Linked DNA regions of Schizosaccharomyces pombe. The gene in region 2 interacts genetically with the main gene of each other region. Each region holds a gene or a part of one and is shown on either strand. Other genes may lie near its edges.

Region 1 (8,020 bases), on a different chromosome or scaffold from region 2:
TGTCTCCGAATACTTTCATTTGCTGAAAGAAGCATACTGGGATGCACCTTTGTCCTTGGTTGAAGCAGTCCTTCAAAACCGCACCGACCTGGAAAAATCAATAATAAAGAAGATGATTGATATTGTACGCCATGAAAATGATTCACTCCAAATAGACACTTCGCAACAACCGACAGTATTTTCCCAAGTCACGTCTCTTTCTGGAAGTTCAATTTTATGAGATCCAAAGTAGTCGTTGCTGAATTTTAATGATCTACGTACGGTTTATCTTTACCTATAGTAATGTTCCTTTTGATTTATGTTAGACGAAGCCACTAATTTGCGTTCACGCTATCTATTATACCTGTTACTAACTTTCAAGATGGCAATCGAAAGCGTCGCTATAATTAAGGTATTTGTGATAAATAGATATTGGACCTTGACAATTTCGCGGTCCATATTGTTTCCTGTTCATATTATGTTTTGACAAATATTAGCTACCAGTTTAGTAACTTCAAATAAAAATTCGTATATGATTATATATATGTATATATTTGACTATAGATGATGACCCAACGAACCTACTGTAATAAATGGATATATACAAGATCAACTAGGTTCAATTACAGAGAATCATGTAAAAAATCACAACAACAAATAATCTCCTTCTTTTGTTTACCGATAAGTAAATCTTTATCATCAAAACTCCACCGTAAGAAATTAACTTGCTCCTCTGGAAGTACATTAGTAACAGCAATTAACTCTGAGTTATCGGAACCCAGTTCCTTAAATAGTTTGGCTGTTTTGCATGACCATATACATACTCCCCCAGAAGTATCACCAGTAGCAAGATAGCGACCGTTATGACTGAAGCTCAAAGCACTAACAGGAGCTGTATGCCTCATGAATACAGCAAGTTGCTGAAGGGAAATAGCATTATACATAGAAACGATACTGTTTGAAGCAACCGCTAGAATTGGTGTCCCTTCCCGCAAATTCCAGTCAATACAATTAACCGGTGAGCTAAAAGAAAAAACATGTAAACATTCAAAAGCACCAGCATCACCTCTAGACCAAAGCTATACAAAACGTTAGAAAACAGTAATTATTAGAATGACAAAAGAAATTTACCTTAACAGTGGTATCACTAGAAGCAGTTAATAGAAGAGAGATACGTAGATTGTATCGTAAAGCAACAATAGAATTATCATGCGCATGAGAAACTGTAGAAACCGGAGCTTTGCCATCGACCTTGTATACTCGCAAGGAGCCTTCCACATCCGAAGTTACAAATTCATCAAAGCTAATCCATTCAATGTCTAAAACGGAAGATGCAAGTGTGTCAATTGAATATTGTGTTTGCTTCAGTTGATCAAAGAGTGTAATAGTTCCATCCGCCGAACCAGCAGCTAGATATGTATCAGTACCGCTCCATTTCAAAGATAAAACAGGGCCTTTGTTGTTATGAAAGCTAAGGATTTGAGAACCATGACTATCGTAAATTTCAATCACACCGCTGAAGAATGCGTAGGCTAAAAAAGAACCAGAATTCTAAAAGTTAGTATTTCAAAAAAAAATTTGAACCTTACATTCCAAGCAACGCCAGTGATATCTTGGTTATCGAAAGAAGATTGCAGACAATAATCTGTTTTTGCCTTGAAATCATTTTGCTCTTCACAAATGCTAACTGAAGCCAGAGTAGCGTTTGTCATACCAATAGAAAATTCGTAAACATGGTAATTTTCTTGTAATAGTGGACGCCAATCTGCACAGGTAACGGGGTGTTTGGTAGGAATTACTTTGAAAAAATCCGACTTTATGTCTTCGCCGCCAGTAAAAGTAACCTGTTTTATTTCTGTTATTTCCGTGACAGGTGAACTGTTGTACACGGCTATAGGTCGAGCCGGATCCTTCTCTACGTTTGATTCATCGGCCATAGTAATGTCAATATCCCTTTTCTCAATTTTATCCTTAAATGGCATGACCGGAGATGAAGGCGACCCAGACCCCTTATCTTGTAAAATTTTAAGTTGGTGATCATTAGAATTATTGTGTTCGCAAAACCCATTGGTAGAGTCAGCTTTCGTCAGTGTCGTTTCGCATATATGAGGTACGGTGAGATAGAAAGGGAGTTTACAAGGATTTTCATTTACAAGACTTTCTCCATCTATAGATGTTTTGCTAGCTTCTTCGTTTGAGGAGTGATTATCAACGTAGTGCTTTTCGAGCTCCACGTACTGTAAACCCTTCTGCAGAATTTCGACTAAAGCGCCAACCTGGCAAGTACTTCCCCATTGTTTGTCTAAATTTTGGATGCCTGTTTCCCTTTCAAATGCAAATTTAGTATGCGAATAACCTACAACAAAAAACACGATAATGTTAACGAAACCGAAAAAAAGGAGAGATGAAGCGACTATGATTCACAAAAACCAACTATTTAACATACCGCATTCTTTCAAATATCTCCAGATTATATAATTAACTTGATTCGTATCCATTTCCTCCACAATTTCTAAATCTATAATGGTTCAAGCTACCCACGTAAATTAAAGTCAAATCTTAAGGTCTGTCAACGAGTTTCACTTAAAACCTCAACAGTCTTCTATTTTCTTTCTTTTCCTGTCAATACGGATTTAACTTGAAGGATTGTCGACGAATTCCCATTGAGACGGTTTTTAGTAGTTGTGGAAGTATTAGTTACCGAAATTTAACTAGATACGTGCGATGGCTGAAACTGTGGATTAAATCTTCCTGCTCTATTATTTGCACGTAGGTTACTATTTAAACAGCGCTTGATCAAAATAAAAATAATCGAGTGCCCACTTTTTGTATCCGAGGAATTTCAGTAAAGTTTTCCCTCTTTGAAGTCGGTCTCTTAACAACTTAAAACGGCAATGCTAATAGTTCTCTTCGACTTTTAATTTCAATCAAAATTCACTTTTAGAAGTTTGTGTTAAGGAGTTGGCAGCCAGATTGTATTTTCTGACTTTCATGAATTCGTATGCTATTTCTGTACTCAACATTCCATACAAGAGTGGTAGGAGCCTTATTTGGTTTTTTTATTTCTAAAATATACTGCTATTTTATTTGAATAATTTGAACATTCAGGGTCCGCTTATCATGCTAAGGAAATGTGATTTTCTATTACAAATGTTTCAAGGTCAAGCGAATGCTTCTTTCTGATATAAGACCGCTCTAAACAATGCATTCACTATATTCTAAGAAAGGAAAAGATGATTTGAATTATGACTAATAATTTAAGACATTATTCGATTAAGAGAATCAACACTTTGTTTTAACCCAGCAGAGCGATATGCAGCAATTTCTCATCAGGGTTTCCCTCAAAAAACTGCCAAATATAATAAAAATTAATTTCTCCCTTTACTATTTACTCTAACTTTGAATGCGTTTATCTCCTCAACCGAACCGATCATAGTTACTTGATAAACCAGGTTGTGCTCAAACAAATATATCAGCGAGTTTAAACTTCTTTTCTATCTTCTATTAGAATCGGCAAGCTACAAAGTTATGTAATTTTCTGGATGTTTATAATCTGGTCGAGCCATGACCTACCTATCATCTTACCCGCTACCGAATGTCCCTGTAAATGAGATTATTGAGAAGGCATTAAAAAACCAGGTGCAGTGTCTTATCTCAACTTCTCATTTTCTAATTTACTAACTGTATTAATCCATATAGGCAATTTCTTATTATGCTTATATTCCAGTGAAGCGATCTTTGGCCAATTCAGTTTTCGTAAGAGTTTCTATTTTTTAGATGCAAACAGCTAGAAATTTTATTTCGGATTGCACCATTTACTTAGAGGTATCCTGGTATTGTTTACTTTGAGACCAAAATTGTTGACGTCGATGATTTTTACGGTAACGAGAACTTTACTATTTTTTTTTACCTAAAATTTATCAATGAATCATTTCTCCAAGTTTTCGGTTACGAAAAGGCTTCTTATCCTAGAGGTATTGTTTTCTGCAATATCATTTGGAATCAGCATCTACATCAAAGTGTTTGGTAGGAGTTCTATTGTAACTTTCTTTCTTTTATGTTTTCATTTGGTTCCAAATGCTTTGTTCTTGTTTCCATGGACAATAATTACCACAAGTTTTGTTGATGCTAATGTTTTTACGCTACTTTCAAGTATTCTCATTCTCTCGGTGTATGGCGTTGAAATTGAACGTTCATGGGGTCATAAGGAGTACTTGCTTTTCTGTCAGTTTTTAACAGTGATTCCAAACATTGCTGTCTTGATACCTTGCTTTATTGCATACAAAATTACAGATTCACATTACTTGTTGGTCGCAATTATCCAAAGTACGACCGCAATTCAAGCAGGGATCTTAACTGCTTGGTACCAATTGTATTCGTGTAAAAAGGAAGAATCTTCAAACAAATTTCTCTGTCCATTGTCAAAATACCTTATTTATTTGTTCCTTTCAATTCACTTATTTTATGTTTTTCAAAGTTTTCCATGGACTTATTTCTGCTTAGCTGTCTCAGGCACTTGCATCTCTGAGCTATATGTGTTGTTTGTTCATCCTGTGGTTCAAGAACTTTTCCATTTAGAAAGTCATACTCAGCTTCCTATATGAACTTTCCGTTTTAATCAAAATCAATACTTTTTTACGCATTGCTATTGTTTTGACTAGCTATCTAAGACCCGTGTATTGCTTTGCTTTTATAATTATTGACTGCATGCGCAAATGAATTTAAAATCAGTTTGCTTATGATTTTGCGTCTATTTATTAAATAATATTGAAGGCTTTTATTAAAAATAAAAAACTAAGTCTTTTTTGGCAGTTACTACTGTTAAATAACAATCACGACCGTTTACGAGTAATACTACAATTCTTGACAATTCCGCAAGGCACAAAATCCTTTACGGCATCTTTTAATGATTAAATAAAGCAAAAGAAATTACTTTCAAAATCGATACTATAATGCTACTATAATTTTATGCTTACCCTACCCTAAACTCTAGCAAAAAGTCCTTTAATTGAATTAAGTCCGTAGCTGCTGGAATCTACCAAGCACTCCATTAAGTTGGCTTGTCGTCACACTATTTGTGAGAATTCAATGAAGACGGGACAATTAGTCTGAGTGCTTATATTAAAGGACGATTTAATCCAGTTTTTGGGTTGGTCATGGTTCGGGGCCAGGGACTATATGTTAACATGTAGAAGTCATCAAGTCTTAAGCTCTAGCTTTTCTATGTCTAGATATTCTTTATCTTAAGTTTGGATGACTTATTTAGGCCTATATTTTTTGTATTGTTTAGTCGTTGTAAAAGAAGAGTAGCTTTTTGTATAGTTTGACTTAATTGAACAGTTTTATTTGCATGGATTTGCATAGTTTTCGTAAATGGCTTTAATTTTTCTTTATACATATCCAATGTAGAGGTTTTAGAAGTATTAGAATCTTCTGTATTCAGTTTCTTTTGGAACGAGAAATCGTTGGAGTCTGAAAAATTATCATGGGATATCTTTAAGCCTTTCTTCAAATAAGGGTGAAGCTAAGAAAATATTAGTGATTGCTTGATTATTTACATAACTGAAACAATGGAAAACTCATTTTGTGTCATATGTTAAGATGAAGTCTTGAATAAAACATTCGCCTGTTCGTGTTTTAAACTTACTTTAGATTTTAAATCGGCAAGCCGTGAATTATTTATGGCCATGTTTTGTTTCATTTCTTCGTAAGATTTCTGTTCATTCTCCAAACGAGCAGTTTCAACCTTCAATTCCTGTTGAAGTACGTTAATATGGTCCAAATCACTGTATAATTGCTGTTCCAATTGCATCTAAAAATGTTAGTCATATCTCTTTCGTATGTATGCGTATCAAGACTTAATAACTTACATTCGAAGAAAGTAATTGAGAGAACAGTATTGACTCTTTTCTTTTCCTTGGTACAGGCAAATTTCTCAGAGGAGCTTCGATTTTTAAAAGTATATTCATGAACCATTCCTCGGCCAAAGATTTTCTTGTTTCTGATTTTATTGTATTCAAAACCAATCTGTTACGATAGCACAGTTAGCATACGTACACATAATGACTAAAAAAATTTGGAAAAGTACTTAAAAGACTTTTCCAGGTAAACATCAACAGCAAACTTTGATTTCCCTTTCAGTACACAAGTAAGCGCTAAAAAGCACAAGCACTTTTAGCAATAACATGATTCTCAATTACTTACCTTGAACACGTCCTAAAAATAATTATTATTTCTTGGCGCTGCTTATCCTCTAATGGACGCCATCTTTTTTGAATTTGGTCTCGACGCACCGCGCGAACGCGCCTTTTCATTTCCATTGCATATATTTATAAAAATGGTGCTACCACTTCAATTTTCTTTTAAGCAATCTGGAACTTAAATAGCAAAATATGTACGTATGGTTTTATATGAAAAATTTCTCTATAACAAGAATTCGCCGTTTCAACGTTTGCATGCTGTTGTAGCGCTTCGGACGAAGTTGTTTTACATATATACAGTCAACCAAGCCAATTCTCAATTACTTATTTTATTTCAATAATAAGTTGATAAAAGATTTTAAAAATCATAGTTATAATGTTTTCACAGCTATCCCAGAAATTACTTTAAGTAGTCTGTTTTTAATTAATACTACAATTACAATAAACAGAGCTTTTTAAATCATATACTATTGCTACCATTGAATTAAAAGAGAAAATAAATAAAACGTACCGACAATCGTAAATATGGCATGTGTTGCAAAGCAGTTCAAATGAAGTGCAGTATGTTTTAGAATATAAATCGTTTAGATGTTGAAAAGATAATATAAAATTGAATTCCTAAGGGTTTGAAAAGTCTTTCTCGCTTAATCAGTTAGTTTATTTCATCTAAACAAAAATTGAATGCTAATTAATCGATCACCAATTTGCGAAGCAAAACCAAGATTCATAAATAGTAAATGCTGAAAATTAACAACTATTAATACACCAACGACGGATAAAAATAGCAACATAAACCTAACGCAAATATTGTCATACACGCATCTGTAATCAATTGTGTGAAATACGGAACATAACTTGTTGTATGACGGATCATTGCTCCATAGGGAGGGGGAAGCTGAGAGGCCAGAGATGCTAGAAGAGAATAAGAAGGTCCATTATTACGGTCCAAAACAAATTGAATAGAGAACAAGCAAGCTTCGACAGTAAATGTCCACGGAAGTAATGGCTGAAATAAATATATTAGTATGCAAAAAAACAATTTCAAAAAAGGAAGATGAGGACTTACCAAATGTTTAAAATAACAAACAATCACTACTATAGAAATTGCCAAAAGATGAGCATATTTCTCAACTAAGTTTTTTAAAGGAGCTGTAGCTTGAGGAATTTGTTCGTTTTCACCTTGAAAATTTGTATCAGATCCCTCCTTTGCGGATTGTAACATAGCTTGAAAAAAATTTGCAAAATCAGGGTTTTGATTAAACATGTTTTCAGGTGGTACATTATATGGAGAATCACACTGAAGTTTAAAAGGCGAACTTTCCAAATTATGGTAATCTTGGGAAGGAAGATATTCCACTTGATCAGCATTGAAGGTATCATCTCTCTTTTCCATGAATCCTGAAGACATTGGCGTTACTGGTGTTGCAGTTTCAGAATGTACAGCTTCCTCGGAAGCTGTAGCTCGAACATCGGATTGACTGTCATCTGAATTCTGTCCCAAAATTTGATTGATTCTAGATGCACCTCCTTGTTTGATTTTATTCAGTCGACGTTCACGTCTAAGTCGAGCTTGTTCACTGGCAGTCGACATGTTCGAAGTCTTTGAATCAGCAGAAAACAGAATAAAATAAATAATTAACACCAAACTTTTTTACAGATATATATTTTTATCAATATTATATTGGGAAAAAATCAATAATGCTCACTTGAACAACTTTCCAATATACGAGGGGTTTGGGGTGAGAGAAAATAGTGATGCATAAGTGTTAGAAGAATACTGAATTCCTACAGCTGTTATGTTTGATAAGAATCATACATGTTAGCCTTATATTATAAAAAGG
Region 2 (7,433 bases):
CAAACATAAAGTCAACAGGATCTATATATTCCCATTCCGCCTTTCCAATAGCTGACTAGTTACATTAGTTTTTAACTCTGTTACAAATTCCATTCTGACGTACCTTTTGGTAATAAGTGTCTTGTAAAAGTTCCCATTCTTTCGTAAATTAGTATAACTATGCAACTGAACGGCATACCATAGATGGGATACTTTATTGAAGGCTCCATTTCTATTTTATTTAGAAAATGCTAAAAAGGTGAAGCAACTTCTATAAATGTAGTTCAATGTATATTACACGTGAGTATTGTGACGAACAGTGGTATCCCCGATCACACTTAAAGCAACTGGTAAGAGTCATCTCACTATGTCAAGCACCTAAACAATTCGCTTTCCCGTTTACCTGGGATTTCTTTAATTTAATCTTTTTTTTTAATTACAGTGGATTGAAGGAATAAGAAAACAGATATATCTAGGAGTCATTTACATGCATACGTATGCGTTATACAATGTCAACATGGTATATGTCAAAAGATAGAATAGTATTAACATTATTTTGCTTATCGCAAAGTTTGATTTCTTGATATTCATATATCAATGAATTCTAGCGAATCCTTTAATAAAAAGGGTATTAGTAAAAATTCTAACATTGCATGAAGAAAATTAAGATCGGGAAATATGAAAAATCAATTAAAGATTTATGAGGATTTTATATTTTAAAAATTTTTAGTTCATTTGTTGAAATGACAGGTTCCTCAGGTTTACGTATAGGTAGTTGTTGAAGACATAAATAAGATTATATAATAATTAAAACCTGGGAGAAGATTACGGTATGCTTTAGCAGTATAATCATGATGTTAAGGCATATTTTTCGGGAAGCCAAAAAACGAGTTGGGACCCTGCAGTCAAAAGTTGATCATACCTAGGATTATACTTAACAAGACCTGGATTAATTATAGACTGAGAAACAATACGATGTTCAGGAGGTCTTGTTTTTCCTTTATGGTGAAAGGTATGTCTTAAATTCCATACATTCAGGGTACGGTCGTCAGCAGATCCTATGACAAAATTACCTTGAGGTACAAAAGTGGTTGAGCCGCCGTGAAAATTGTTGGAGAACGGCAATTCTTGGAAGTCCTCTAATCTAGATAAAACATCCCCGCTGAATGCATCAAGTATATAGTGAACATTAGCTCTAGTTGAGAGAAGTATACATTTTCCATCGTTGGAAAACTCCATATGTTTCCACTCAGGCATCATGGGGGGAAACGAAAACCTTGATAAGTAACGAGAGTCATCTATTGTGAATGTTGAAAACGGATCAGAACCATAATTCCGCACGTCGTAAAGAAAGATACGTGACAGTGAATGACATGCAACCGCAAAAACAAGACCTGTGGGATCATAAGCGGGAATTCCAAGGGATGGGAGATCTAAATTTCCAAGGCATCTCGAGGATTGATTCATTTTCCAAAGCTTCAAGGTTTTGTCGTTTGCCGTACTAACGAATTGGTCTTCAATAGGAGAAACCTCAATGGATGAAACGATGTCCGTGTGCCCACTGAAGTACGATATTCTTTTGTTGTCATAAATTGAAACATATTGAATATCCTTATTCCCCTTTGTGGTAGACAAAAGTAGATTATGATCGTGGTGTGTAAAACGAGCAACTTCTATGCCGGTTTCGAAACAAGTTATTGTATGGACTTGCTTCGGATCTAAAGCATCATATATTTGGACTGTGTCATCGGCAGAACATGTCGTTGCAACATACTCTCCAGAATCACTGTAATCAATGCTATTAATGAAGCTTCCTAATGAGTTATCACGAAACGACTGTGCAGGCTTTAAACTCGAAAGTATGCCGATATCCATTGAGAATTAAATAAAATATATAAATTCTCTTTGAATTTCCTTTTATATCCCCTTAAGGGCCTTTCTACTTTGCTAAGCCCTTGCTTGCATTTGTTTACTTGTGATTCCACAAAATTAGAGTAGTGCCAGACAACGTGTTTAACGAACTGTAGCACGTTTTAGTATACAGTTTTAAATTACAATTCGAAAACTTTTAAAAAGAATAGTGAAGTTGAAAATTAACAGGCTATTAATTTCTCCACCAAAAATACACTTGATTAATAAAAGAGTCTGAAGGCTTGATATTGTGGAAATGGAGGCGTGATGTTATCAAAACTTTCATATTATCAAATATAATTTAAGAGTAAATTTTTATTAAGGAAAACTTATAAACAAAGCTACCAAGGAAGCTGGATCATTCCATGAAATACAGCAGAACCAGTTTCAATTATTTTGTCGCTTGCTTGTAATCCTCAAAGCTCTGTATTTTTGTTATTTTCTGAATAAATTTTTCTTAGATATCGCGAATTTGCTTTTGCAAACCGTTAACAGATTAATTAAAATTACTAAGGAACGGCGTGATTCACGAACTTCTAAAATTCAGCAAAAATTATTTAAATAACTACTTTCGATCCTCAGTCGTTGTTATTCGAATTAGAAGGGAATGAATATTTGCATAATTCATTTCTTATCCTGAACTTTATACTGTTTAAGTCTTTCGCATTCTGTCTAGCGTGATGTGGATTTTAAAGTCAGGGTTCAATCGGTGTAGAAATTTTTCATTCATGAACAGAGGCCTTTTAGGCCTTAGAAACTTGTCTGTCACACACAACAATCTTGTTTCCTATTTAGAACATTTGAGTGTTCAGAAGCCTTCAACGTCGAATACTGTTGCCCAAGGAACCTTGTTTGAATACTTGGTACAGTATGTGCTAAAGCAACACAGTTTTCAGCTTGAAAGATGTGGTGGAAAGGGCGATGGTGGGGTGGATTTGGTGGGCCAATTTTCGATTAAAAATGTGTTGTTTGAGCCCACCAAAGTTGTCGTATCCTGCAAATCTAACAAGGGATCAATAGGGCCCAGATTTGTTAGAGAGCTTGAAGGCTCTTTGTCATCTTATCCAACAGATACTCTTGGGATTTTGGCTTGTTTGGGTTCTTTCACATCATCCTCACTGAAGACTTTGTCCATCAGCAACAGACCTCTTGCCTTATGCCGCATATATGTTGACGGATTTCATAGCTACATGTTTCAATTTGTTTGGAATCACCAAGCTTTGGCTATTTTTCCCGACCTGAGTGTGCGCCAGATTTACAAGCTTCCTTCGCCAACCGCTAATATTGTGCCTTTATCTCAGGAATTTTCCCAAGTGAATTATGTTTCCTTATTTGAACTATTACAGCCATTATCACGTACGGAAGAAAGGCCAGTACCTTTAGTGTTGGTCTACAAAAATCAAAAAATATCTCTTAACTGTTGATGACAGCTCATATATTAATTCATCTTTTTCTATTTCCATCATGCTAATGTGAGTTATTCAGTCTTTGATAAACCAATAAACTTTGTAAAGAGATATTATTCAAGGTAATAAATAGAAATAAAATTCAATGAACGAATGTCTACCAAATAAAAACGAAGTTCTATCTTGAAAATTAAAGTATGATAAGTGTTCAACAGTGTGAAAATAAAGGAAATAATGTAATATAAAAGAGAGAATAAAGAAAAAAGAGAAAAGAATTAAATAATATTGTTACAAGTTTCCATTAAGAAATAGATCGCAAAAATTTGTGCTTAATAAAATACTTCATTCTAGGAATGATCGGCCATTTCGAAATGTTTTGTACAAAAAAACCATTCTTGGCATACAAAAATAAAAGCCAAAAAAAGTATAACCCAACTACATTGTGAATGAGGTATGGTTTTTCAGCTCCATATATCAATGAATAGAAAGACAGAAGAAACAAAAAAACGTTATTTATGTAGTACTCCACGTCGTTCAAACGAGGTAGCATCTTTCCTGTTCGTAAAATTTCGGTGAGTAATATAAAAGGGATAATTGAGAAGAAATTATGATGTGTGGGGAAAGGAATAGACCAATGCATGGAAAGATTTCTAGCCCAAACAATGAGAACAGGAAAGTCCAAAGGAGCTAAGAGTAACATCAGTATTGTTATCGTGCAAGAGAAATTGTAGAAATCCCACAATTTTTTTCGGTAATGGCTTGACTTGGTGCAAAATCGGGCCAAGTGTAAAGCTTTAGCAGTAGTTACTGTCTGGGTACATAAAGCAACACCATAAACAAGTTGAAAGGGTACCACCGTCATTGCCATGAGCAACAATAACATGATGCCAATTATCCGAGCTTGCATATGCTTCTTTCCATATACGTAACAGAGAGAAGGGTTTGCATAATACATATTTCTCTGAGATAGAAAACTCGAAAGTTTTTTAAATTCTCCATGATCCAATTTTCTAGTATTTCTTGTTCTCAGACATTGAAAGGAGAACTTCACAGCTTGGCATACACCAGTAAAAGTCAAACCTTTATAACGCAAGTAGATACCATATATGAATGCTAATAAATGCATGACACAGAGTATAATAACACTGGCTGTTATAACTAAGCCAACAAACATTAAAGTTAACAGCGGGGCGAGGAACCAAAATTGAGCAGTCTGTAGTCCAAAAAGTAAATGATTTTGTTTCCAGAAAGATTTTGGAACCATCATTGCGAATATTTTCCAAGAGGCGACAGGGTCAGCACCATCGGCAACAATCAACTCTACTCTGCTAATTAAATATGAAAATGCAATTGACAAGATCGAAACTAAAAAAAGGAGTTTGATAAGTCCTTTGCGAATCATGACTTCAAGTGCAGCCGACATACTCAAGTATGCAGAACCGTAATGAAAATACCTAAACTGATTGTAAGCTGCCAAACTAATTACAACCACAGGAAAGGAAGCAAGTAATGTTCTGTAACGCATGAGCAGACGCCCAGCGCTCCTGTAATAACTTGGCTGTATTGAAACATAAACCGACTTATAGATAGCAGGATTCAAAAAGAATTCGAGAGTTAAAGATTTTTCTGATTCCTTACCAAAAAATTCCATAAATGGGGATATCCCGTGAACAGAAAGTTCTGTATTTGACATATTCACATGATATTTTGTTTCAAATGGAGATTCAATACTTTGCTTTAACATAGGGGTAAATTCTTTTTGAGGTACGGCACCAGGATAAAGTTCGTACGTTACTGAAATGGTGTAAGCCATAATTGAGCTCTGAATACCAGGGAACCTGAAGCGTTTCGAAATCGATCCTTTGGTGTCGAATTGAAATTTTCTTCCGCTTTTGAAGAGTTCAATTTGAGAACCTTTAATCGTTTTAGGATCCAACGAAACATTTGAAAATCCCCCAACAACAAACCCACTAGCGGGTGCTTTCGAATCATCAGACACTAAAATAAAATGATAATCATCCATTTTTTCCTTTGGCAATACGTAGTTATAAAAACTGTCACCACCATATGGACTGCTGGTGTATGCAGTTGAAGCAGGAAGCAAAGTAACCAATTCCCTAAGTAAATGGCAATTAGCGTTAATTACTTTATTGTTACCATTCTCTAATAAAGCAGATATAGTATTATCAATTTTTGGATCAAGGCGGCAAGCCAATACTTTAATATTGGATGACGAAAGATCAATAGGCTGATCAGTAAGCAATTCGAATCGGTCAATGCTTGAGGTAGGCTTCGGAATAGGAAAGATATGATGCCGAATATAAGAAACACCTAGTTGGTTCAAAAATAACAGTTGCCCTGGCATCTCGCTATAAACGTAAGTAAGATCAAGGTCCAAAGCTTTGTATTGAGCAATTGGTTTGGAAATTTGCGTAATGTCGTTTTGAAAAGAAGAACCCTGGATGTAGGCACGACTAAGCAACTCCTTCCTCAAATTAAGAGAAACGGTGCACTTTGATGTCCTTGCATCCATAATTGCAAAAATTCCCCGAATTAGTACCCGACGGAAATTCTCGCACCAAGCCATAGCTTGATGATCAATTTCTGCCCAAACGGAAGGGATACCAGAAGTAAAAACCATTAGACCGTTCGAGGGGGGCACAAAGGTAGAGATGGACGAATACTCCGGTACAACATGAGTATCTAAACCTCCCCCAGCTATGGAAACAAGCAAAACATCATCTAGTGAATTTTCTTCTGGACTCAACAGAAAGGACTGGGACCAAAAGTTTTTAATTGATTCATAAAATTCTACTAGATGCCTATCAAAAGGCAAAGGGGCCATTGCATGTGGCGTAGCTAAAGTAATTAGGGTATTAACAGAACCATCAACGTAGTTTTTCATCGTAAAAGTAGCTTGAGCAACAATCCCTCCCATAGAATGACCAAGTAATATAACGGACGTTGGGGGAGGAAAAGCTTCATTGTCATACTCCGAAGAGATTTTTCGATTTTGACGGTAAAGAGAGAGTATATATGGAATAGCATCATTGACATATTCAGCTTGGTCCAACAGCGTTTGGCCATGAAATGCTGAAAAATCCTCATTAAAATCCACCACAAAAAAATCAGGGACGAGTTTACCAGCATTTAGCGTACCATCAGCGTCTTCAGCGTAAGCATTAGCATAAACATGGGCAGCTTGAGCAGCAAAAGCTCTTACTTGTTTATAGCTACCCGCATTACCAGGAATGAAAAGGATAGGAATACCTGATGGTTCGTCACTTTCCTCTACGCTTTTTTCTCTATAAAGGTAGAGCGAATATTTATTTGCGAAACGAGTGTAACGTTCATCAAAATCAACAAAACGAACATAAGAAGGCCAAACATAGGACTTTCCGCAACCATTGTCCTGTGGACGACCTTGAAAAGAATGTAGAATAACTAATAATAAAAGAATGGCGATGATTGCAACATAAAGAGACCAGCTTCGTATAGCCTTAACTATAACATTCCCCTTTGAGATTTTAATTTCCTTTTCTATGGAAATAGAGCTAGGTGTTGAAGAACCAGAGCTAGTAACGCTAGGAATATCATTTTGCTCTAAATTAGGTTTCTCATCGTTTGAGGCTGTGTTGGCATTATTGCGTTTATAAAAGCCGCTTGAAAGCTTTGAATTGGAGATATAGTAGCCATTCACAGTATCTGACCTTCCCTTATCGTCTTTCATAGTTTTAAAAAACCGAGACGAAGAAGACGATATACGGGTTGAGCCTTGATACAAATCCAGGGCCGCTAATGAAAGTTAAAGACAAATAAAAGGGAAATAATAATTCAAAAGGCAAGTAAAACCTGTTAATATTTAAGACTCAGTTGTTTAGATGAAGTGCAAATTAGGTATCAACTGAAAAAGAAATTTCCAGTTTGCAAAAAATTAGACAGGTTACAACAACAGAAAAAAAAAACATATAATAAAAATCCTCGTAATTTAGGACATAAGTAGGAATTTCACAGTATTTCCCAAACACTGTTATATCTAAGTCCTTTAATCAATTTGTTGCCTCAAATGAAGAATCCAGCTCCAAAATCGAGGACTGTGTCAAAGAAATCAATTATTAGAAATGAAAAGTAGATCCT
Region 3 (9,454 bases), on a different chromosome or scaffold from region 2:
TTTTTTGGGCACAATAAGACATGGGGCATCTTTCAACGAGAGAATCATCGCTATATCAATCTAATTATCGCCCCACCGATAAATAGTCTTTTGAACGAAATACAAACAATTATCCTATTATCAACAGTCTTTCCTTTCACTTATACATTCTTTTTAACTTTGTATATTGACTCGGATCGCAAGCATAGTTTTGTCTCTTAAACTCCATTACACCTTCTAAACAAAACTACTATATAACATAGTACAATTCTAATTTTCCTTCTTCTTATTTATTAATTTATTTATTAAATTATTTTGTAAACTTCTTCATTCGCTTTCCTCAATGGCTTTTGTATTTGTATATTGGTAGATTTGAAATCATTCGCTTCCTCAACCCAACATCTTTCCAGCATATCATCTTCGATGATCCCTAAACTCACTCCTTTAACTTAGCTTGTCTCTAGCTCGAATTTTAGACCTTTATCTTGCATGAGAATTGCTATGACCTCTTTCTCTTTATGATTATACTATCTCTTTTCATATACTTCTTTTAGTGCATGTTTTACCCGCCGCTTCTAATATCTCCTTTACTTCTTTCTCTACTTTATCCCCACTTTACTTTATCACCCCCTTCCTCCTACTTTACTCTATCCAGTGTCTTTCACGAAATCATTGATTCATGCTAATCGAAAAAAAGACTAAACAGCTACCAAAAAAAATTGCAATGGTAGTGTTTCCAGTCAAATACTTCGATAAATGAAGTAAAAGAAGAACTGATAGTAACTTACAACCACTTGTCTTCTTCAGGAGTCTTGTCTTTAAAGTGGTCGCCAATGAATGCGATAGGCTGTCCCTTGTTAGTTGCAATCTTTTACACTTGCTAAATCATACCTGAAGAATAGTAGTCTTAACCTTAGGAACCTGCATAGCAAAAACAAACACTTCATAGCTTATTAGTATGCATACGCACACATTTTTTTAGTCAACTTACCGCCGGCTACGGCTGCAAAGGCCCAACGGGAAAAGGCAGGAATACTAAAATTTAATGTTAATAATCATATATTGAAGTTAGATTCAGCAATCCTACGTTTTCATAGTTCTTTCAGGGGTGATGAAAGAAATGTGAGGTTGAACATGATACATGGGCTTATTGGGAAACTAATCATGTTAAAATCATCCTTTTTAACGATATAAACTTACGAAAGAAATCATTGTAACTAATTTTCAACAAAATGAGAGAGGAGGTCGATGGAGTTATTTTATTGAGTCACCCACCTGATATATATCTTCCTAGCAAACTATGATAAGTTGCGTTACATTCCGTTCTCCCCTATTGGGTATTAGAAAATATACTTCCCAAGCTGTGCTTCGAATTTAAATGGATTTTAAACAGTTAACATGATTTTACATACAAACTTCATACTTATTGCTTTAATAGTAGATGATGCGAAGTCAACAACAGTTTTTTGTTATTGAATAAATTGACAAGCCGTATATCAAGTAGACCATTGTTACTTAGCTTTATTAAGAAATAAACAAACGCATTGAAAACGTAAAAAGTTAGGCAACATTTTTCACTTGAAGCAAAGTTAGGCATAAAATCAGATATAAAATTATACAAAGTGAAAAACTGATCAATATAGGATATAAATAATCCAAGGAATATTAAATAGGCCTCATTGTAGAAACCATTTTCCGAGACTGGGTGTTGAAAATAGCAAGATGATCAGTCCATCAATGGAGTCTACCTTACCATAGAAAATTCATCATATAAACAAACAAAAATAATGGAAAACAGAAAAGGAAACAAGCCCGTTTTGGCTTTATAAGCTATGCTTTAAGGATCGTCAGGTCGAGAGGAAGGGTTGTGACATGCCCTTTTAAATTCTCATAGCTAAAAGGAAACAAGGAACATTAATAAAATATATGGGTAAATACATTCAAAATCGTTTTGGTGGAAGGAATCCGAAAAGTTTTTAAAGCAACAAAATTGTCATGATGATTGATCATGTTGATTATGGCTTGGGAGAGGACGGAGTAGATGCTGAAGCAACACCTTTAGTACGACACAGGGGGCATGAATTTTGGCTTGAAGTTAACCACTGATCTATGCATTCACGATGAAAAAAATGATTGCATTGTTTAAGACGGCGACACTCATCGTTCAACTCAAAATTTGATAGACAAACAAGGCATCTTTCATCGGTTCCCGAAAAAGGGAATACACCACCTGCCTTTTCAAGGTCTTTTTGTGAAGCCACTGGCGGCTTTTCAATACCGATAATAGAATTCAATAAAAGCATGTCCTCGTACGTTGGTGAATCAGTAAACAGTGAAGGTGCTCTCAAAACAGGATGATTTTGAGGTACAAAAGCTTCTCGAACGTATATGGCCCAGCTTCTGGGCAATTGGTGGTCCGTTTGCGAATTATTATTTCTAGTTTCAGGTGCTTGTTGAGTGGAGGATCCATTATTATCGGAAATCCCATTTACGTCTGTAGCAGTAGAAGCTTGCTCGTCTTCGGAAATATGTTCTGCCTCATTAACATTTTCATTTGGCCCCGTATTATCACTAACGGACGTTGTCTGATTTTGCGAGTTAACAAGTGAAGATATCAAATCAGAAGGATGCATTAAAGTTGGGGAATCGGCACTTGGTTGATCATCTTCATCACTTCCTGAATTTCTTAGACTTCGGATGCCAACTATTATAATCGGGATTACTTCTTGACCTTCATGATTTCGGTGTAAATTGTCAAATCTAAAAGTTCGAAAAAGGTTTATAGGACCAGATTCTTCTTCAAGATCCACAGCATTTGCAATTAGTTCTGCAGTCCTAGGATTAGTTTCTGCGTTCATCGCCTGCACCAGATTACCAGCGTGCAAAAGCGATAAAAATTCATCGAAAGCAACATTTCCAGATTCCACATTTCCAGAAATTGAAGAAGGAAATTCTAAATTGTTTGATTGATGTGCACTCGAAGAATTCATCAGTACACTAACCCAACCAGACGCTACTGAAAACACAAATCGAGAAAGCATGACTAGTTGACTTTCTTCTGGAGAAACAGATGCTTGTTGAGTATTTTCACTATTATTAATATAGTTCATTACCGCACGAGTATAGTCCTCCATATTTGAGTCCGCTAGAGAAGTGACAGATCTTACCGGCAATCTTCCAATTGCAGTTCCCGGAGATTCTAAATTATTTACAGAGCCATGATCCTGCATTTCCTGTCCACCGCTCGAACTGACGTTTTCATCTTCATGATTCGATGCCAACGTAGACTGATTGTTTTGGGTATTTAAATTGCGTAAAGCAGCAATACTAGAACGAAATCTTCTAGCAGCACGTTCAAATTCCTGTTGGTGATTTTCAAGGATTAACCTGTCTGTTTGAGGTATTGCAGATGTTTGTGATTCGCCTTCTATACGAGAGCGAGGAGTAGCTGGTGTAGCTGGTGGACTTAACGACCTTAGAGAAGGAGAATTCCTATTCAAAAGCGAACCACGGTAGCGAGAACGAAAAGCCGATCTTTCAGTAGTTCTATCACGATTACCATTTTCCGAATTGCCTTCATCGTTACGATGCCGCTTTGCTCTTCGAAGACCTAAGACTCGCTGCAAAGAGGGAAAACGATTCCACAGCCTACTAAAGCCAGAATTTTGTCGATCTGAATCATTAATGTTTTCACTTTCTGATGAAACCGCCTGCATACTTGCGTCCCTTTGAATTTGCCGACTGGGAATGGATTCACCTTGCCCCATTTGTGTAGTGAGTGCAGTACTGATTATCAAATATAGTTAAATAACAGAAAAGATAAAATATATGTTTTAAATTAAAAAGAATTTAAACAAGTTACTTGAAAGTATTAAAATACATAAACTAATAAATCTAAAATGTTAATAGCGGTAAGCTTTTTGCATACTAAGCATCATTACGTAGTTTAACGTTGCGGTAAATGTTATTAGAGTAGTCGCACTCTTTTATATCTACTATGAAGTCTTATTTCACCTTTAATGCTTTAAACGACAAACAGCTTTAATCATTTTTACACTAAACAGCAAACAGTTCGGACTGAAATGTACTGCTGAAGATTTATCTCCCTCTAGGAAATACTTTACAAGTCAATCAGTTTTTTGAATTCTAGTCTTAAATACTTGGGCTTCAGTAAACAAACAGAACGAGAAATTTACTGAAGAAATGAAAATAGAGGAACTCATCATTGATGGTTTCAAATCATATGCTGTGCGAACTGTCATTAGCAATTGGGATGACCAATTTAATGCTATAACGGGCCTCAATGGGTCTGGAAAAAGTAATATATTAGATGCAATATGCTTTGTCTTGGGAATTACGAATATGTCGACTGTCCGTGCCCAGAATTTACAGGACTTAATTTACAAACGCGGACAGGCAGGAATAACCAGAGCTAGCGTTACCATTGTGTTTAATAATCGGGATCCTGCGTCTTCACCAATTGGTTTCGAGAATCACCCGCAAGTAAGCGTTACAAGACAAATTATCATGGGCGGTACAAGCAAATATTTGATTAATGGACATAGAGCTCTGCAACAGAATGTTCAAAATTTGTTCCAGTCTGTTCAGTTAAATATTAATAATCCTAATTTTTTAATTATGCAAGGTCGAATCACCAAGGTTCTTAATATGAAGGCTACTGAAATTTTATCAATGATTGAAGAAGCCTCTGGTACTCGAATGTTTGAAGAAAGGAAAGAAAAGGCTTTTCGAACAATGCAACGAAAAGAAGCAAAGGTTGAGGAGATTAATACACTGTTAAGAGAGGAAATCGAACCCCGACTTACCAAACTTCGTACAGAAAAAAAAACTTTTCTAGAATATCAACATATTTATAATGACTTGGAACGATTAAGCCATCTTTGTACTGCTTACGACTATTATAAGTTGTCACTTAAAGTGGAGGAATTAACGGTTCAAGCATCCCAGAAGCACAGCCATATCGCCGAGATGGAATCTTCATTACAAACATCGAAACAGGAGGTTTTAATACTAAAGGAAAAGATTAAAAAAATTGAAGATGAGCGAATGAGACAAATGAGTGTTTCTTCGGATCGTACCTTGGACTCTCAGTTACAAACTGTTAATGAAAACATCACCAGAATAAGCACGTCGATAGAATTAAAGAATACAGCTTTAGAGGAAGAGCATGGGGACCTTCAACAAATTCGTGGAAAAGCTAAGGAATTAGAAACTTTGTTGCGCGGAAAAAGGAAACGACTAGATGAAGTGCTTAGTGTATACGAAAAAAGGAAAGATGAACATCAAAGTATTTCAAAGGATTTCAAGTCTCAAGAAGAGCTAATTTCATCACTTACAACTGGTCTTTCCACTACAGAAGGTCATGAAACTGGCTATTCTAGAAAACTACACGAAGCTCGAGATACGTTGAATGACTTTAAAGCTGAAAAAGAAACCAATCGATTAAAGCTTGAAGGACTCAATAAACAAATATCTTTAACTAAACCTAAGAAGGCTGAGGCTACAAAACGATGTGATCAACTCAATCGCGAAATCGATATATTACAAAACCATGTTGAGAAGCTTAAAATGTCTTTAAAAAATACAAATTCCGACATTACAGGTGAAGATGTACTCCAGCAAAAGTTGAAGCAACTTGCTAAAGATCGCGGCAATTTGTTAAATGAACTTGATGCTTTAAAAAGCAAACTTGCTTATATGGAATTTACTTATACCGACCCTACTCCTAATTTTGATCGCTCAAAGGTGAAAGGATTGGTGGCTCAATTGCTAACCTTGAATGAAGAGAATTATGACAAGCAAACTGCATTAGAAATTACAGCTGGTGGCCGCCTTTATAATCTCATTGTTGAAACCGAGAAAATTGGTGCACAATTGCTTCAAAAAGGAAACCTGAAGAGGAGAGTTACTATTATTCCCCTCAACAAAATTACCAGCTTCGTAGCTTCAGCAGAGAGAGTAGGCGCAGCCAAAAAAATTTCTAATAATAAAGCCCAACTTGCTTTGGAATTAATCGGTTATGACGATGAGCTTTTGCCTGCAATGCAGTATGTTTTTGGCTCCACATTAGTCTGTGATACCCCTGAATCGGCAAAGAAAGTTACCTTTCATCCTTCAGTTAAATTAAAAAGTGTCACGCTTGATGGTGATGTTTATGACCCATCTGGTACCCTTACTGGTGGGTCTGTGAATAAATCTGCCGGTCCTTTACTACAGATACAAAAGCTGAACAGTCTGCAGCTAAAATTGCAAGTAGTTACTTCAGAATATGAAAAGTTGGAGACTCAACTTAAAGACTTAAAGACTCAAAATGCCAATTTTCATCGACTTGAGCAAGAAATTCAACTAAAGCAACATGAATTAACACTTTTGATAGAGCAAAGAGAGACCGACTCATCTTTTCGTCTTTTATCTGATTATCAGCAGTACAAAGACGACGTTAAAGATCTCAAGCAAAGGCTTCCTGAATTAGACAGACTTATATTGCAAAGTGACCAAGCTATAAAAAAAATTGAACGAGACATGCAAGAATGGAAACATAACAAGGGATCAAAAATGGCTGAATTGGAAAAGGAGTTTAATCAATACAAGCACAAGTTAGACGAGTTTACTCCTATATTGGAAAAGTCCGAGAATGACTATAATGGCGTTAAACTCGAATGTGAACAATTAGAAGGCGAATTGCAAAACCATCAGCAATCTCTCGTACAAGGTGAATCGACCACGAGTTTAATAAAGACGGAAATTGCAGAACTTGAGCTGTCACTTGTTAATGAGGAGCATAATCGAAAGAAACTCACCGAACTAATAGAAATTGAAAGCGCCAAGTTTTCTGGACTTAACAAAGAGATAGATTCACTCAGTACCTCAATGAAAACATTCGAATCTGAAATAAACAATGGGGAGCTAACAATTCAAAAGCTGAACCACGAGTTTGACCGATTAGAGCGAGAAAAATCAGTTGCTATAACTGCTATTAATCATTTGGAAAAGGAAAATGATTGGATAGATGGACAGAAACAGCACTTTGGTAAGCAAGGAACCATTTTCGATTTTCACTCTCAAAACATGCGTCAGTGTAGAGAGCAGTTACATAATTTGAAACCGCGATTTGCTAGTATGCGTAAAGCTATTAATCCCAAGGTTATGGACATGATTGACGGTGTAGAAAAGAAAGAAGCCAAATTGCGCTCTATGATAAAGACCATTCATCGCGATAAGAAAAAGATCCAAGATACTGTCAAAAGTATTGATCGGTTTAAAAGGAGTGCCTTAGAAAAAACCTGGAGAGAAGTCAATTCTTCTTTCGGTGAAATTTTTGACGAACTACTTCCTGGTAATAGTGCAGAACTACAGCCACCAGAGAATAAAGAATTCACTGATGGATTGGAAATTCATGTAAAAATTGGGTCAATTTGGAAAGATAGTCTGGCAGAACTTAGTGGTGGACAAAGGTCTCTAGTTGCATTGGCTCTTATTATGTCTCTACTTAAATATAAGCCTGCTCCAATGTACATTTTAGATGAAATTGACGCGGCGCTCGATTTAAGTCATACCCAAAACATTGGAAGACTTATTAAAACAAAGTTTAAAGGTTCTCAGTTTATTATTGTTAGCCTTAAAGAAGGAATGTTTACCAATGCTAATCGACTATTTCATGTACGATTTATGGACGGATCATCTGTGGTACAAGCTCGCTAATTTGAACGTAAACACTTGAATTATACGCGCATGTATAGTCCTACTATTTACTATCACCGATGTCTTAATTTATTTAAAGAATATTTCTACCAATCATTAAAAACAAGACTTTTGGTTCTTTAAAGTTGTTTGTGCCGCTAATGAAACTTAGACTACGGTATGTATCATATGTATAAAATATCGTAAACTCATCATTTCCAAATTTATTATTAGCGTCGATGTCATTTGTAGCATATTCAAAAATATTTAGGGTAGGGTTTTAAAATTTTGATCGATACAGGATGTTTCTGTGGTTATGTATTTAGCCTCAACATCATATAAAATTGGTGCGACAGCCGCAATTAAGTTATTATTTGTATGCTTTTTTGCTAATAAATATCCTAAAAGTGTAACTGGAGCAACTAGCTAGTACGTGTTTTGGGAATTACACTCACAGCGCACATATAGCATTGGAAGTTCTTTGTATGACTATATTCTAAAATGTCTCCTACCCTTGTTGTTGATCAAGAGAATTCGGAAGAATTTAACACCTCCTCATTTGAAGGTCCTGAAAAATTGCTGGAACTATGGTTTTCGGCTCCTATAAAAACCAATTTAAGTGCGGGTGAAAAGGCTAACTTGGGACTAAAAGCTGTTTCTCGCAATGATTGGGATGATATGCTAGCCCAAGCCCAATGTAAAGTCCTCAGCGTTGTTAATAGTGAAGAAATAGATGCATATTTACTTTCTGAATCCTCTATGTTTGTGTTTGCCCATAAAATTATCCTTAAAACATGCGGAACCACTACACTACTGGCTAGTTTGCCTCGCCTATTAGAAATTGCTTCTAGTGTTGGCTTTGATCGTCCTCTTCGTATTTTTTACTCAAGAAAAAACTTTTTATATCCCGAACGCCAGCTTGCACCACATACGAGTTGGGAGGAAGAAGTTCGTTACTTACAACTGTTTTTTCCAAGTGGATGCTCTTATGTAGTGGGTCCGACAAACAAGAATCACTGGCATCTGTTTTCTGATCTGGCTGATGATTATTCTTTACTGGAAGATTCCCTTGATCCTGAAGATGAGACCCTAGAGGTACTCATGACTGATATGTCTCCCGAACGCTCGCTTCAGTTTTACGCTCCATCCTTGGATGTTGTTCGGAGCGCTAGAGGTGATGACTATGTTCGAGAAAAAAACAATCTCTCGGGGGGTCACATCCTTGGCAGTTATGTAGCTGATGAATCGGGTGTTAGAGACTTATGTAGTACCTCTGATAAAAAAGCAGTGCTTGATGCTTTTCAATTTGAGCCAATTGGGTTCTCGTCGAATATGATTTACAAGGACCGCTATGCCACAATCCATGTTACGCCTCAAGAACATTGTTCTTATGCTTCATTTGAAACAAATGTTTCGCAATTCCAATTCGGAAGATCCATATCTGAAACAATCGAAAAAACTGTTAAAACTTTTGGTGCAAACAAATTTTGTCTTACCCTTTTCCAGGCTAAAGGTGCGTCTCAAGAGAAGCATTTCTCGGCCAAACTTAAATCTTTTAGCTCTTATAAGCGTGAAGAATTTATAGTGTATGACTTTCCTGGATATGATCTTATATTTGCCAGCTTTACTGCAGTATAAGTTCGGAGAACAGTCAGCTAGATATTTTAAATTATCTGTTGCTATATTTATTATCATTCTTTTTTACGGTGGAGCGTGCCATGCGAATACCCCTTTTTACAATCTTTCATTATGCAAAAAGTAGTCGTCTTTTGTT
Region 4 (7,364 bases), on a different chromosome or scaffold from region 2:
ACCGGCACTCAACAGTCTGACAAGGTACAGCAGCTTTTAAACAAATCGAATCAGTTAGGAGTGTTACGAGGAAATCATTTAGATAATGTTCCTGTTTCGGCTAATTCTCGATTGTATGATATTGAACTATGTAAAAGTATCTCAGAAGTTTTACGCACAAGGTTAAAAGCTGATACCGATACGGTTACCATGACCCAGGCTTGGGCCATCTATAATCGGTCAAGAAAAGCAAACCTGATTCCTCCGACCAGATTTGTGAAGGCTTGTGAACTAATAGATTCCATGGAGGTTGGTATAACAACGTCCAAAATGAACTCTGGGCTTATCCTTTTTCAATTAAAAACTTCTAATCATTCAGGAAAACTTTTGTCCGCTATATTGGAAGTTATGAATCCTAGCACTACGGCTTTGAAATGTGCAATGAGGTTGCATTGGTCCATTGGTGTAACGTTAGAAAGACTTTATCAAGCTGAGATGGACGGTTACATTGTACGTGATGTTTATGAAGAATCTGGTTCTAGCTTACTATACTGGAAAAACGAATTTGACGAATTATCAGAAGAATTGACTAAATGGTTTGATGAATCATAGGAATAATAACTGTACACTATCTAATTAATATTCATTCCTTTTAACATTGTATTTTTCTTTCGCTTTAGTAGATTCCTCTCTACACACGCCTTAATTAATATGACTACCTGTTATGGGTATTCGATTCCCAACGTAACCATTTAATCTTAACCTACACCTATTTTATTTTTAATTCATTTGAGAAACTGTTTACACGATAGTTTCAAGAAATCTAATATATCAATATTAATAATTGTTAAATATGGAGACGTACGAGCAAGAATATCGGTATGTCTAATACCATTACAAGTTTACTAATAATTAGCTTGCTTCGAGCAGATATCGAAGAAAAACTTAATGATTTAAGTAAAAGTGGTGAGAACTCTGTTATTCAATCATGTCAGAGACTTTTAAATGAAATTGATGAAGTAGTATGTTGGAATAATTTGTGTTTTTAAAAAAGTGGCTAACTTGCAGATTGGTCAAATGGAAATTGAAATTACCGGTATCCCTACTTCTGAAAGAGGTCTCGTAAATGGAAGAATTCGTAGTTATCGTTCAACTTTGGAGGAGTGGCGTAGACACCTGGTAAGTTAGCTATATCGAACATTCTTCTTTTGAAGCTTTACAGAAATTACTATGAGACAATCTACTTTTATTTACCAAATTCATACTAACAATTTTCTCGTTTAGAAGGAAGAAATTGGCAAATCAGATAGGAAAGCCCTTTTTGGAAATAGGGATGAAACATCCGGTGATTATATTGCAAGTGATCAAGATTATGACCAAAGAACTCGTTTGTTACAAGGAACAAATAGACTTGAGCAATCTTCACAGCGTCTTCTTGAATCACAACGGATTGCGAATGAGACTGAAGGCATTGGTGCTAGCATTCTTCGTGATCTTCATGGTCAAAGAAATCAATTGGAGCATTCTTTAGAGATGGTAAGTAATTATTGCAAAATAGATAAATGAATCACTATGATTGATAAGATAAAATGCGCGATTTATACGCATATCTTAGCCAAGCTTATTAGCTCCATGGTTTAAAAATATAGTTTTCTTTTATGCTATGTATAAATTTCTTTGAGATTTGTTAACCAAATTAGCTTGGAGATACGTCTGGACACCTTGATCGAAGTTTAAGAACTCTGAAGACAATGGCAAGAAGGTAGGACACAGATAGACATTATTATAGTGATATGAATCGTCATGTAATGATCTTTTATACTAACTCATTTTAAAGACTTGCCATGAACAGATTTTTCACGACAGCAATAATTGCAATCCTTGTTATATTAATTTTGCTTGTGCTTTATAGCAAATTTCGTTAGCACAAATATTAAAGAACATCATATAACTTTAGATGGGATCTTTAAGCGTATGGGTCTCTTCCAAGTGGAATTTTACGTTTCTTGCATAATTCGCCCACATTTGACTAGCTAGCTCAACATTCATATTAGACATATTAATTAGCTTTAAGAATGTCAGCGGAAAGTTGATATGTACACAAATATTTGACGTCGTAATCTTACCTGTAATGAATGATTGAGTCTTGTAATACTTTCATTCAGCTTTTCTACATTACTTATGATCCTTCCTAATAATGCGCTTTGCTGTTCTTCCATAGGATTATTCATTTTCGATGGTTTTCAATTTCCTAAACTGTAATTATGTAGTCTGTACTTGGAAGCTTGCATGAGCCAGTGCTGACACTTCGTAGTTGGAAAAATTGAACTACAATTTTAAACCTGTGATCTAAATTTTTTTTAAGAAATTGAACTTTTTGGGAATTTATGAGTTGCATATTTATTTGAGAAGTATCAGTTGATGTTACCACCTACATTTTTATAATATATTTACGATCAAAAGGGCAGTTTAAAATATAAAAAATAATAAATTTTAATATGAAATATTGATTGAGTAAATTTTTATAAAAGGATATTGAATAAAGGATCCAAGAAATAGCCCTCCATAACGCGTATAGAAACAAATATTTATGAGAAGCAAAACATCCGAATAGTATAAAGAAGTGTGTAGTATGAAAAGGTATCAGTGCTAGGATATGGTTTATAGTGTTGTAAATAAATTATCTTGCACACCAAATTTAAGTACTTGGTCAAATGCTAATATTTAATCTCTTGATATTACTAAAATTAGACTTACTGTCGAAAATGCTGCCGACGAATGCTAAGAATTTGATCCCTTTGTGCAGGAGGTAATGCGTTAATTTGCTCTGGGGTAAGAGCCAACAATTGTTGTATGAGGGCCATCTGTTTTGTTAGTGCAAAAAAAAAAAAAAAAACGTACCCGCTTCCCTTCATTGCCCTGATCTGAACCATTCGCTTGTTGACTTTTATGGTTACTAGAAGGTATTTTTTGGGGAACAGAAGGAGGAGAGGAAGTTGCTGAAGCTGGTTGATGCATGTTTTTATTCTTCACTGCGACTACTACTTGTTGTAAGACATTTGCGTCAACTAAGTTCATCAGCAACATAGCTTGAAAGGCGGCGTATGGTAAAGCAGGATTAGCAATTAGAAGTCGTCGTGCCTCTTCTGGTGCTATATGAACTACAGTCTGAAGTTTGGACAACATATTGAGAAGTTCCTGAGCTGAGAAGGTAGATAGTACCTGAACGACAGACGGGGCCAATGGGATAGAAGTCGGATTCGATATAGAAGTCCCGGAAGTGTAATCCCCTTTGTTTTGTGAAGATTTATTATACTGAAAGGTTCTTGCATTGTATGCATCTGTATGGGGTTGACTGGCAGAATCAAAGTCGGAGGTCATACTGTTGTGAAAATTATAAGCAGGAACAGAAGTAGAATTTATATTTTTATTAAGATTAGTAGCCATTGACGACGAATAAATAGCAGGACTTGGCATCCCACCTCCTTGTGAAGCAGGCAGGGAAGATGTTGAATGCAAAACAGGAGGAATAAAACGGGAATTATAAGAACTTTCATGAGCATTTTGCTGTTCCATGTATCTATCAGTACGCTCCGTATATTCATAACTTTGATTCCTTCTGGGATCATTTGATGGAAACTCGACACGAATCTTACGAGGTCCTAATTCGGAATTATTTAACTTTCGTACAGCCATAGCGGTAGTCTCACTATCAAAAAACTCACAAAACCCATAACCCTTCCCACTACCTGTTTCCGGATCAAGTACAAGTTTGAAAGTCTTTACTGGTCCAACTTGATTAAAGATTTCAGTCATTTGCTGTTCCGAAACATCATATGGAATGTTACCAACTAAATTAGATTAGCAAAACCGAATATTTAAAGAATTATTACCAAATACGACATTCCCGGCTGTCATCGACATGCTGGTAGTCGCGTCTTTCGGTTTTGCCCATTCAACCAACGTACTGCTACTACTACTACTACTACTTAAATCAAAGCTTGTTCCTACGCACAGCGAAAGGCTGCTAATTTTCAACTCATATTTATCTATTTAAATATCATTAATACTCATATACCTATGCATGCATTAATCATCATCAATAGAGCCGGTTCATTGATTTTTCAAAGAGAGTTTGGCTCATCACCAACGGCTTTAACACCTAACGAATATTTGGTTTTGGCAGGGACAATTCATGGGTAAGTACAATGGAAATAACGTAGAAGCCTAATCAAATTGATGAAATTCTACCCTTTATTACATCGAAGTTATCAAATTTAAATTTATTACTTGTTTTTGATATCCTTGTGCTTCATGAATTTTTTATTACTAGTGCCGCTTGAGTTTATGTTGAAGAAAACAGACTTGTGAAATTCAATGATATGTTATTAACCACTGAGATAGTGTACATGCCATTTCCACTCAGATCAGTCCGCTACCAGGATCAAGCGGAATTCAACTATTGGAAGCAGGAACATTCAACATGCATATTTTGCAAACACATACAGGGATGAAATTTGTGTTATTTACAGAAAAGAAAACCACAAACGCCAGATTACAATTACAAAAGTTTTATGAACTTTACTCCGACTATGTACTCAAAAATCCTTTCTACACTTTAGAGATGCCAATCAAATGCCAGCTATTTGATGAACAATTAAAAAGATACATAGATTCTCATTGACAAAAATTTTAATCAAACAATCCGAATCCCATCTATAAAAAAGTTAGTACCTAATTGCGTAATAAAATAACAATATAGTAAGGAATAAATAATGAGTAAAAATAACTTAACACTAGTTGTAGTAATTACTACCGCTATTTTATACTTACATCTTCATCAGACTCCTCTTCTTCTTTAGCCTCTTCCTTCTGTTCTTCAGCAGCGGCTTCACCACCAGCAGCAGCGGCAGGAGCACCGGCGCCACCAGCAGCAGGAGCGGCAGCAGCAGAGCCAATGTTCAAAAGGAGTTCCTTCAAGTCCTTGCCCTCCAAAGCCTTAGCAAAGATGGTTGCCCAGATAGGCTCAACATCGACGTTGGCAGCCTTAGTCAAAGACAAGAGTTTATCTGACTAGAAATACTGTTAATAATCCCCTTTAGGCAAAATCTACATGATGACGCGTCATTATTTAATGTGGTAGGATTTCAGTAATCATTTTTGATGACTCTATGTGTACAACGCGTGCACCTCCATAAATGTGTTAACTTACGGTGATCTCAATACCCTCGTCGGCCAAGATGAGAGCAGAGTAACTTGTAGCAAGTTCGGAGGCAGACATTTTGGTGTTGGTAAAGATATCTTATTGATTTGTTGTGCCTATTGCTGTGTAAAGTAGTGTGACTGTTTTATTTGCCCAAACCCTAACCTACTATAAATTATATTACAAGTTGGCCGTGAGATACTAATGGTATAGAGGTGTATGGTTCAGAGGCTTTTGGGATTTTTCCATCGTTGACTTCTAAGTAATCACTTGGAAGTTGGCGAAACGGCGGTGAGTGAATATAATACGAAATAAGAGAGTTATATGCCGCCTATAAAGTTAGTATTAGGGTTCATATTGATGGTGTTTCAAATAATAATATATTTCCAAATAAATTGATGCTGAAGACCAAAGTTGTAGTACAGTTCCTTAATAATAAAAAGAAGTAAATTACAGCACTTAAGAACATGACCCTTGTGTATCGTGGAGTGTTACGATACAACATCGCGGCAATATTTACTGCAAGCCAAATCTCATAAGCATGAAGAAAACTTATAAGTGAACTTTCAATAATTTGGAAGTCATTATTCGCAATTACATACCTGTTGCTCAGCCAAATTTAGACTGCTGGCTTGACCTTGTCCCAAGAGGTGATGCCCACTGTAGGCTCCAATGACAAAAACAGGTTCTCTGCTTTTTCTTCCCGTCTCGGCTATAATGCGATAGACTGGTTCCTTTAATGAAAGCCTTTTACATAAACGAGATAGTTGACGCCGAGGCCATTGCAATTGTAACATTGTTCTTGGGTCTAATTGTTTAGATAAGATGTGGTCATTAATAAATTTTTTAGTATCATTAAATCCCTGTAAAAACATTAGTAAACACTGATAAAAATTTCTTACTTGATGTAGGTAAACTCCGCCCAAAATTGCTAAAATGGCTCTTCGCGCTGCCTCATCTTTGTAAATTTCACCAGGCTTCCTCAGCATTTCAGGGTCAGCACGCTTCGCTAAAACTTTTCCAAATGACTCTTGTAAACCTTCTTCTCTTCTCTGTACTTCAAGACCCCAGATAGTTGCTAACTGACTCAAAGCCTTTGAGCCCATCCACCCATTTTGCATGCCATGAACTGCTTCCTCCGGCAGCCTGGGGTATTTGCACTTAATGTATTCAAGAACATAGAAATCACCAAACACTTTCCCTATTGACCAGAGTTTTTCGTTAGAATATTGGGGGTTTTGAACAACAGTCTTATCGATCAGTGCTTGAACAAGAACTTTCATTGGATAACTTTCAGGAAGTCCAATTCTTTTTTTAAGGGTATAAACTTTTGAGATTGCAATTTTGGATGAAAGAATATTTTCGATCAACGATTTGCCGCTGTTACTGTACCACCGAACCCTCGCATAGTCTTTCATAGATATGCTCCTCCGAAAGGTCGTTGTTGATCTGCTTATAAACGACATGGTATTTTTAGTTACAATTAATTATAAACTGTATGTATGCAGCATACAATAGTCGTTAAGGTGGTTATTAAACAGGTTGAGGTAAAATAGGCGGAAGATAACTTTTAAGAAGTGGGTACGCGTTCCAGAAATTCAAAACGAATTTTGGCTAATTGTCTTTAACATTGGGATTAGTTTATTAAGAAAAATCTACTATAAACAAAACAAATACAAATTTTTTAGTAAATCCATCCTAGTTTAGTTGCATGAACCTCATGGATACAAACCATAAACTTCTGAACATTAAAATTAGTGTTGTTGTCTTCCTAATTTACAATATAAAAAAAAAAATAATTATAAACAACATCTTTAATTTTAATCCACATGTTAGAATAGTTATGAACGAAAAAAAAAACATTTCATAAATTATTAAAAATACTAACAGAATCAGCAACTTCCCACAAACGTTAAGTGTCTCGTGACATTAGCAAGGCCGGCTTGCAAATGCTAACAAAATAATTGGGTAGATATTAAATAGTTAAAACACAATGGAAGCACATATTTCTTATTCAAGAACGAATGATAAGCCCTAAAGTGGTCTTATAACAATCCCGACAACCATGACATGCTAGCAAACGGTATCGCAGCTATATATACATATATATATGCACATCAACATAGGGCTAATAAACAAGAAGTACTAATTTTAACATCCGATGGTCCCCGATCTTTTTCTC

The links.
Region 1: mutations in swd22 (region 2) and hif2 together harm fitness more than expected from each alone (negative genetic interaction), as found in Schizosaccharomyces pombe (2 studies listed by BioGRID).
Region 3: of swd22 (region 2) and cut14, a mutation in one rescues a mutant of the other (synthetic rescue), as found in Schizosaccharomyces pombe (one study listed by BioGRID).
Region 4: mutations in swd22 (region 2) and ctf1 are lethal when combined (synthetic lethality), as found in Schizosaccharomyces pombe (one study listed by BioGRID).

The regions. Positions count from the first base shown.
Region 1 is NC_003421.2:189,009-197,028, reverse strand, and holds hif2 (Set3 complex subunit Hif2), read right to left. Parts: upstream 2,666-8,020; 5' UTR 2,478-2,665; coding exon 2,426-2,477; intron 2,336-2,425; coding exon 1,569-2,335; intron 1,531-1,568; coding exon 1,111-1,530; intron 1,059-1,110; coding exon 603-1,058; 3' UTR 501-602; downstream 1-500. Other genes in the region: sec6 (exocyst complex subunit Exo3), read left to right, coding at 1-220; protein pdh1, read left to right, coding at 3,903-4,583; kinetochore protein fta7, read right to left, coding at 5,207-5,503, 5,627-5,791, 5,850-6,006, 6,184-6,299; GET complex subunit Get2, read right to left, coding at 6,937-7,185, 7,246-7,770.
Region 2 is NC_003424.3:1,684,783-1,692,215, reverse strand, and holds swd22 (Set1C-histone-H3K4 methyltransferase complex subunit Swd2), read right to left. Parts: upstream 1,951-7,433; 5' UTR 1,855-1,950; coding exon 829-1,854; 3' UTR 501-828; downstream 1-500. Other genes in the region: HOPS complex subunit Vps16, read right to left, coding at 1-55, 104-138, 179-209; SPOM_SPAC824.03C (uncharacterized protein), read left to right, coding at 2,571-3,314; bst1 (GPI inositol deacylase), read right to left, coding at 3,598-7,026.
Region 3 is NC_003423.3:2,876,097-2,885,550, reverse strand, and holds cut14 (condensin complex SMC subunit Smc2), read left to right. Parts: upstream 1-4,182; coding exon 4,183-7,701; 3' UTR 7,702-7,864; downstream 7,865-9,454. Other genes in the region: ubiquinol-cytochrome-c reductase complex subunit Qcr10, read right to left, coding at 764-826, 871-920, 971-1,014, 1,067-1,137, 1,180-1,191; SPOM_SPBP4H10.07 (ubiquitin-protein ligase E3), read right to left, coding at 1,995-3,746; S-adenosylmethionine decarboxylase proenzyme Spe2, read left to right, coding at 8,182-9,318. UniProt on the Schizosaccharomyces pombe protein: Central component of the condensin complex, a complex required for conversion of interphase chromatin into mitotic-like condense chromosomes.
Region 4 is NC_003423.3:4,004,125-4,011,488, forward strand, and holds ctf1 (cleavage and polyadenylation specificity factor complex subunit Ctf1), read right to left. Parts: upstream 3,916-7,364; 5' UTR 3,904-3,915; coding exon 3,873-3,903; intron 3,831-3,872; coding exon 2,881-3,830; intron 2,844-2,880; coding exon 2,733-2,843; 3' UTR 2,483-2,732; downstream 1-2,482. Other genes in the region: ESCRT II complex subunit Vps36, read left to right, coding at 1-591; SNARE protein Vti1, read left to right, coding at 833-858, 896-1,001, 1,048-1,158, 1,264-1,515, 1,680-1,741, 1,817-1,904; DASH complex subunit Dad4, read right to left, coding at 1,933-2,046, 2,106-2,210; TRAPP complex subunit Trs23, read left to right, coding at 4,060-4,178, 4,384-4,663; rpp102 (ribosomal protein P1), read right to left, coding at 4,672-4,695, 4,813-5,052, 5,192-5,260; mrpl3 (mitochondrial 54S ribosomal protein mL44), read right to left, coding at 5,358-5,513, 5,785-6,045, 6,085-6,648; Sre1 cleavage-activating protein Scap Scp1, read right to left, coding at 7,334-7,364. UniProt on the Schizosaccharomyces pombe protein: Component of the cleavage factor I (CF I) involved in pre-mRNA 3'-end processing.